2 linked regions of the Macaca fascicularis genome follow. The protein of the gene in region 1 purifies or fractionates together with the protein of each later gene. This does not show direct contact. Links are inferred from orthologs where the notes say so. Each region holds a gene or a part of one and is shown in the gene's direction. Other genes may lie near its edges.

Region 1 (3,922 bases):
TCTGTTTGGTTTTGACTTACAAGATAAGTACTTATTTTGTAGCTAAAGTGTTCAGTGGCTACACTCTTGAGGTGCTACGTGTAAACACAGTTGCTTCCTATTAAAATGGATCTGAAATATACGCTCCATTTTGTATAGATAGTAAATTACATTTAAAAAGTTACCTTATAATCGGTAAATTAAGTAATCTTTCCACTGAAAGTTTCTGTATAACTCTGTCAATAACATCAGAAAATAAAATCCTTTTTGGCAAATTACATATGATTCCTTGATTATGTGTTTATTCTGAATACCAGGGATTTTTAGCTTTTTTAAAATACAATAAGCACAAAAATGGAAAGTTATAAAAGTCAAGGAATGTTGGAATTTTTTACTGCTACTTTCATTGTTACATGTAAATAGATGTACTTATCAGTTTCTAGACTGCTTATGAATTTGAGTTTGGGCAATCCTCTTTGACATTTTAGATTAAAGAATTGCAGACTTTTTAGCCAGATGTGGTGGCGCATGCCTGTAATCCCAGCTACTTGGGAGGCTGAGGCAGGAGAATCGCTTGAACCCGGGAGGCAGAGGTTGCGGTGAGCCGAGATCGCAGCATTGCACTCCAGCCTGGGTGACAAGAGCAGAATTCTGTCTCAAAAAAAAAAAAAAAGAATTGCAGACTATTAAATACTTTCATGTCCTATGCTAGATACTCTTAGAGAGGACTCCAAATATAAGCATTAGTACTGTTTAAAAAGCTAGATAGTCTTGATGTAACTTAAAAGGACATGTTCTTGCATTGTTTTTTAGCAAAATAGTAAATATAATATATATTTCTTATTGTTCTGTCTTCTTTGTGAGGAGAGGGTACATGCAGTATTTTAGATTGTATTTCCCAGATATAATTTATTTACCAGCTAATCTTTTTTAAAATTGTCTTTTAGCTTCTAGCTCCGGACATTCGACATGAAAGAAATGTGATTTTGCAGTGTGTTCGGTACATCATCAAAAAAGACTTTTTTGGACTGGATACTAATTCTACAAAAAGTAAAGATGTATAGGCGTCTGATGTTTCAGCATGCATAACTGAAGCATGTGAAACAGTATCATCCTCGTTAGTAGAGGAAAACCAAAACCCTTTTTTCCCTCAAAACTGGATTTGTAATTAAATTGTAAGCCTCATAGGGTGTATGTTGGAATTTTAAGTCTTTCCTTTGGTTCTATGCAAATAAATACATAACTGATTTTTAAGACTGTGTCCATATTGTTGGGATTGAATCTAGTATTTGCTGGGAGAATTTTTTCTTTGTATTTATTTTAATGTATTGTTCTCATGTAAGAATGACTGATGTGTCAGTTAAGAATTGAAGATAGGTTTAGCAGTAAAGAAGAAAACTTTTAAAAGGATTGATTCAGCTAAGCAAAGTTGGGCAGAGAAATACAGCCATTTTGTTTTTAATGCAGAAAAGGAAGATGTTCTGTAGCAACAGGGAATATTTTAAAAATAAACCAGATCAAATTAATACAGTCAGAAGGTTTCGAAATGTTAGTATTCCCTGTTTAAGACATGTTTAAATTCACCTACTAGCACGACTTACATAGCTCAAATATTGAATGTTTAAAATTTTTTTTTTTTTTTTTTTTTGAGACGGAGTCTCGCTCTGTCGCCCAGGCTGGAGTGCAGTGGCCGGATCTCAGCTCACTGCAAGCTCTGCCTCCCGGGTTTACGCCATTCTCATGCCTCAGCCTCCCGAGTAGCTGGGACTATAGGCGCCCGCCACCTCGCCCGGCTAGTTTTTTGTATTTTTTAGTAGAGACGGGGTTTCACTGTGTTAGCCAGGATGGTCTCGATCTCCTGACCTCGTGATCCGCCCGTCTCGGCCTCCCAAAGTGCTGGGATTACAGGCTTGAGCCACCGCGCCCAGCCTGTTTAAAATATTAATACAGATGGGGCCTCTGTTTATGTTTAGATACAATTGGAGTACTTAATTGAAACTTTTTAAAAATTGTAAAGTAAATGAAAGCTACTGAGATCTTTTTGTCTCCTATAATACCAGGGAATTTGAGCTTGTGTTCTAGTCATTGTACTAGCTGTAGCTATTGGTCTGCCCTTTTGACATACAGCTAAAAAGGACTAAATTTTTTTTTTTTTAATTAGTCTGTCATAGTTGAAGATTAATTTTTCCTAATGTTGTGATTATTGAAGTTCATGAATCTTGCTGTCAAGGAAGAAAGGTAAGAAATCTGATAGCTCCTCCATGTTGGTAAAATCCTCTCCAGAATCCTGGAACACCTGGCATGTGACCCTAGTGACGTCACAGACCTGGGGTGAAGATTCATGTTTAGCCAGTGTTTTCCAGCCTTGTACCCACCATACAGATCTGTTTATTCTGTTTCACCCTACTCCTCCAGTGAGCCCCATATTTTGGGAAATTATCTGCCTCATACGTTAATTAATTCAATTCATATAACACTGTTGAGGGCTTACTCCAGGTACCTCTATTGTGCCTATATTAAAGGTATACAAATAAATGAGGCCATGTCTGACTTCAAGGAACTCAGTTTAATTTTGATATATTCAAAGATGTGATTCCCAACCATCTCATCAGGATGAAGTAACTAGTGTTACAACTGAGTTGATACTCTAAAATATAACACAGTTTGCACTTTTATTACTAGTTAGCATATACATTTTACAGGCTTATGGTTAATAAATGAAGTCACGGACTCCTGGACTACTTTCACTGATGACCGTATCTCCAGGGATGTTGTTGATCCCCACACTGCCTTAAGGTGTATTATGTAAACAGTTTTCTTTTCCGTTTTTCTTGTTTCCTGATAATACATGTATTTAGGACTGAAAATACTCCTCTGAGTACTCCGTTGGCTCTATGTCTTTAGCTATGGTAACTATTGTTTATTTTTAATGGGTATTTCAGATTCAAAGTGTATTTAAAATTTCTAAGCAGATACAATATAACCTGTATGGTTTCTACCTTATGGAATTATATGGTCAATATTTGTAAATATTCTGTGAGTTTTGGGTGGGTAGAGGGGTGCTTTGCCTGTTTTGGGTACAGGTTTTTTTGGATTTAGCTTGTTAATTGTTCAAACTTTCTGCCTTCTACATTCTTATCTTATTGTTCATTTAATCAGTTTCTGAAATGTAAGCATTACATGACTATTGGTGAGTTGTGCCTTTTATAACTGAAATACTTTACTTTTTCTCATATCCTCTATAATTGACTTCTATTTTCCTTAATTAGTCAAACCAGCTCTGGGAAATTTAATCCATTTATATTAATTGAGATTATTAAAACATTTGGACTATTCCTGGCTGTCTTATTTTGTATTTTCTGTATATCATGCTTTCTTGTTTTTATTTTGTCATCTTATTGGCTTGATTGTTATTTTTTTTTCTCCTTGTTTTTCCTCCAGTGGTTTGGAAGTAATTAAACCTATTGCTATTTCTTTAGTGATTACCTTTTTTTCTTTATGTTTAGAGTTAGTTAGTAGCCATATCTTCCACCCATCTTCCAATTAAGTCAGTAACCTTAGCATTGTTTCACTTCCCCACCTCAGCCTTTTCTTGTGATGTAATCAGATTCAATTTTAGTTTTAGATTAATCTCTAGGATCTTGGCCTGTATGTGTAAATAGTTATTAGGCCACTATGAGTTTTACTGTTTTCTTCTGATTGCTTTCTCTTGCATCCCAGGATTAGTTTTCTGGTGTGCTGCTGCGTATCTTCAAGTAATTAAATGTTGAATCTTCAATTTAAAATTTTTTAAATTGAGTTACGGTTTTAGACTCAAAATCATTTTCCTTCGGAATTTTGAAGCTATAACAATCGTATGCTATTATCCAGTATTGCTGATTAAAGTCAAACACCAATCTGATTACCTCTCTTTATTTATTGATAAATAACCTATTTTTTCCTC
Region 2 (3,922 bases), on another chromosome or scaffold:
GCAACGACATATCACTACACATCTATGATCAAATAATTGATAATACTAAGAATTGGCAGGGATGTAGAGAAACAGGAACCCTCAGCCAGTGGGAATGTAAAATGGTATAGCTACTTTGGAAAACAGTTTGGGCATTTCTTTAAAAATTAACATAAATTTATATGGCCCAGCAATTCCACTCCTAGTTATTTACTTACGGGAAATGTAAACACGTCCACACAAATACTTGTATATGAATGTGGAAGCAGAATTATTCGTAATAGCCTAAACGGGAAACAAGGCAAATGCCCACCAACTGGTACATGCATGAAAAAACGTGCCACATTCATACAATGCAATTCATACAATGCAACTCAGCAAAATCGGGCATTAGGCACTTTCACCTAATATATTTATGATGTTCTCTGAGAGAATCCTGCAAAATGCTGCAGAATCCTGCAGAATGCCTGCGTCAGGCTGTTACTTAGAAAGAATGGAAACAAAAATTAATGCCCTCTTTCCTACTTGAAACCCATCAGGATTCCCAGTTATCTATTGAGTTTGTGTCCGTCACTGCTAGTTAATTCCCATGCATGATCTCATAATCTTCGCAATGACACTGAGATTTGTATTAATAATACCATGGTCCCTAGTTTATAGCTTTAAGAAACCAAAGCTTGGAAAGGCGTAACATCAGGTGTGTCTATTTTCATACAAGATTGGATTTAATGGTTAACACAGATGAAGGTGGGTTTTCCCATTTCCAGAGTGTAAGGGTTTCGCTTCTCTCCCTCTGCCGGTCTCCTCCACTCTTCACACCGAGTAGGGCGTGCAGGGTAGCCTAGGGTGTGGCCCAGGAGGCTTCCCTAGGGCAAGGGTGTAGTGGAAACCAGGCGGGAGACGAGAATACCACTGGGCAAGTCACGCAGTTACGCTTGTTGGCCCAGAGCATCCGGCAGGGCCTCCGCAGAGCCGTAAAGAGTTCTACAAGTCGTGAAGTGTCGAGGCGCAAAAGCGTTGCTTTACGGCGATTCGAGCAGTCGCGTCAAGCTGACTATTCCGGGCTTTTGGCTACTTGGCTCTGCACGTGGGCCGCTGTAGGTATTCCGATCGGTAATTCCGCCTATTGGTGTGCAGCAGCCACATTGAAGGATAGAGTGGCAACAGAGGCCAAGTATCGTGAGTTGATGGAGTTTGCTGCTGAAAATGAAGGGAAGTCTGGGGGAGGCCTCCACAGCGTAGCTGAGGGGGTGCGGCTAAGTCCAGAGCCTGGCAGGGAGGAAGTCAGGGACTTAGCACGGGCGGAGGAGGTCGGCGGCGGAGAGGAGGGGAAAGGGCTGACAGGGATGAAGGAGATAGGGGATGGAGAGAAAGGAAGTGGACAAAGGCCAGAGGAAATACCGATGGACCTAACGGTAGTGAAGCAAGAAATTATGGACTGGCCAGATACAGAAGGCAGATTGGCTGGCCAGTGGGTAAAACAGGAGGTGGAGGATAGGCCTGAGGTGAAGGATGAGAACGCAGGCGTATTGGAGGTGAAGCAGGAGACGGATAGTAGTTTAGTGGTAAAAGAGGCGAAGGTGGGTGACCCAGAGGTAAAGGAAGAGAAGGTAAAGGAAGAGGTAATGGACTGGTCAGAAGTGAAGGAAGAGAAGGATAACTCGGAGATAAAACAGGAGGAGAAGTTTGTTGGTCAATACATAAAAGAGGAAGTGATGCATGGAGAGTGTGTAAAAGAAGAGAAGGATTTCCTGAAGAAAGAAACCGTGGATGATACAAAGGTGAAAGAAGAGCCTCCGATAAATCACCCGGTGGGTTGCAAGCGGAAACTGGCCATGTCAAGGTAGGGCATGGGGAATTCCATTTAGGGGAATAAAGCTGTGGAATCCTCATGTCTAGAGTGAAGGAAACCACACTATCAGGAGAAGGTGGAATAATGAAAAATAAGCACAAGTTTGGGTTTCTGGAGGCAGACGGCGTTCGTGGGGGTGGGTTGGGAAGTGGAGGGTGTTGTGGATGACAACACAACAAATTCAGTGAAAATATATGAAGTTGGTAGTGTCCAATGGGTAATGGGCAAGTTAGGAAAGTGAAAATTCTGGGGACCAAAAGATCATTTGGAACTGGATCTGGCTTAACTTAATATGCTCTTTACTCGGTATTCCTTTGAGAGAGAATAGAGATGAGAAAGTGTAATAAAACCAACAATGACAACGTAGAGTAAGTTAAAATTAGGCAAAATTACACTTGACCTCAATTATCAAGCTTCTGCATGGGTGCTGTGAATATTTATTGCTTTTGATTTAATTTCCTTAGTGTGTGGATCATGTGACAAAGGAAATAAGAGTAGTCAGATTCTTGGGAATATTACCTTCTAGAACACAGTGGGCTAAATATAAGTAACTGTAGTTTGGTTGTCAGTATCCCAAGAGCATAGAAGAGCAGTTGAGGACAGACGATGGGTTACATGGCATTTATAGATTATTTCGATGCTCATTCTAGATTAGGTGTGGAGTTCAGGAAAAAAGATGCTACTACTACTCTCTAAATTTCACTTGGCCTTATATTCTTTTTCTAGTGTGTGCTTTAAAAATATCTAAACATAGCTCATGGATTGGACTCCTGGATACACACACATAAAATCATTACCGCATTTCCAGGAATCACAAGTTAAAATATCAGTGAATAATCTCATTCCCTGATTAGAGTAGAAAAAGAAGTCAAAAGCAAGATGGGTTTTAAACATTTTAATACATTTTCCTGAGTTATGTCACTAACAACATTGGAAATGTAGTTGTTTTGGGAAGGTTTCATAGAGAATTTTCAAATGATGTTCAACAGCTATCAAATATTTTTTCAGAGTTACTTGTCACTAAGTTTATAAGTTGGGACATTCTAAGTTTATAAATAAATAGAGTTAATATTTGATAATTTAATGTTACATGTGGGCTTTTGCAGGTGTGAAACTTGTGGTACAGAAGAAGCAAAGTACAGATGTCCACGTTGTATGCGATATTCCTGCAGGTATACATGTAACTTCCTACCTTTTAACCTGTATCTGTACCTTTCTTACCCTAAAGTATAAAAGTACTTCCCCTTTGTCTTTTCAGTTTGCCCTGTGTAAAGAAACACAAAGCAGAACTGACATGTAATGGAGTTCGAGATAAAACTGCATACGTTTCAATACAACAGTTTACTGAAATGAATCTCCTAAGTGGTAAGCCACTTTATGCATAGCAAATTGAGGCTTTCTGGCCATTGGTGTATGTCATTTGTTTATTCTTCTGTTTTGAAATTTTTAGATTATCGATTTTTGGAAGATGTGGCAAGAACAGCGGACCATATTTCTAGAGATGCTTTTTTGAAAAGACCAATAAGCAATAAACATGTAAGATTTTTTCCTAATTTCTTCCAGTTAGAAGTCCTTCAAATCAATTAGATTCTTTTTTTTTTTTTTAACTTACCAAATAATATATATTAAGTGGCTACCATGATGTAGAGCTGTTCTGATTACTTAAGGATATGACTGTGACCCAAACAAAGTCTGTCCACTCGTGGAGTTGTATTTAGTGGGAGATACAGGAGATGAGTGGAGGAACAAATGTAATTTCAGGTAGAGTTAAGTTCATATAGAAGATAAAGAAGGCTCAAGAGATTAAAGAGAGAATGAAAATGGTCTTTGTTGGGGAGAGATTGTCAGGGTACTATTTTTGATACAGTGGTCAGGAGAAGCTTCTCTAAGAGATGATATGTAAGCAGTGATCTGAATGCTGAGAAAGAAGCTGTCATGAAAACATTTGGAGGAAGATTATTCCAAGTAGGGACAAAAGTAAAAGGAAAGACCTGAGTCAGAAACAAGGATGTCTGGTTTGAGGAATTAAAAGATTGGCAAGGTAACTGAAGCATAGTGAGTGAGAAAGAGAGTATTGAAAATGAAGTTAGA

Evidence for each region.
Region 2: the proteins of NUFIP1 (region 1) and ZNHIT6 purify together in Homo sapiens (affinity purification with western blotting; 3 studies listed by BioGRID and IntAct, with this or other methods). This does not show direct contact. The link is inferred for Macaca fascicularis from reciprocal best matches to the Homo sapiens genes NUFIP1 and ZNHIT6.

What each region holds. Positions count from the first base shown.
Region 1 is NC_088391.1:24,178,959-24,182,880, reverse strand, and holds the end of NUFIP1 (FMR1-interacting protein NUFIP1), read left to right. Parts: intron 1-926; coding exon 927-1,043; 3' UTR 1,044-3,314; downstream 3,315-3,922. UniProt on the Homo sapiens protein: Binds RNA.
Region 2 is NC_088375.1:148,944,077-148,947,998, forward strand, and holds the start of ZNHIT6 (box C/D snoRNA protein 1), read left to right. Parts: upstream 1-1,017; 5' UTR 1,018-1,166; coding exon 1,167-1,822; intron 1,823-2,937; coding exon 2,938-3,003; intron 3,004-3,089; coding exon 3,090-3,196; intron 3,197-3,281; coding exon 3,282-3,367; intron 3,368-3,922. UniProt on the Homo sapiens protein: Required for box C/D snoRNAs accumulation involved in snoRNA processing, snoRNA transport to the nucleolus and ribosome biogenesis.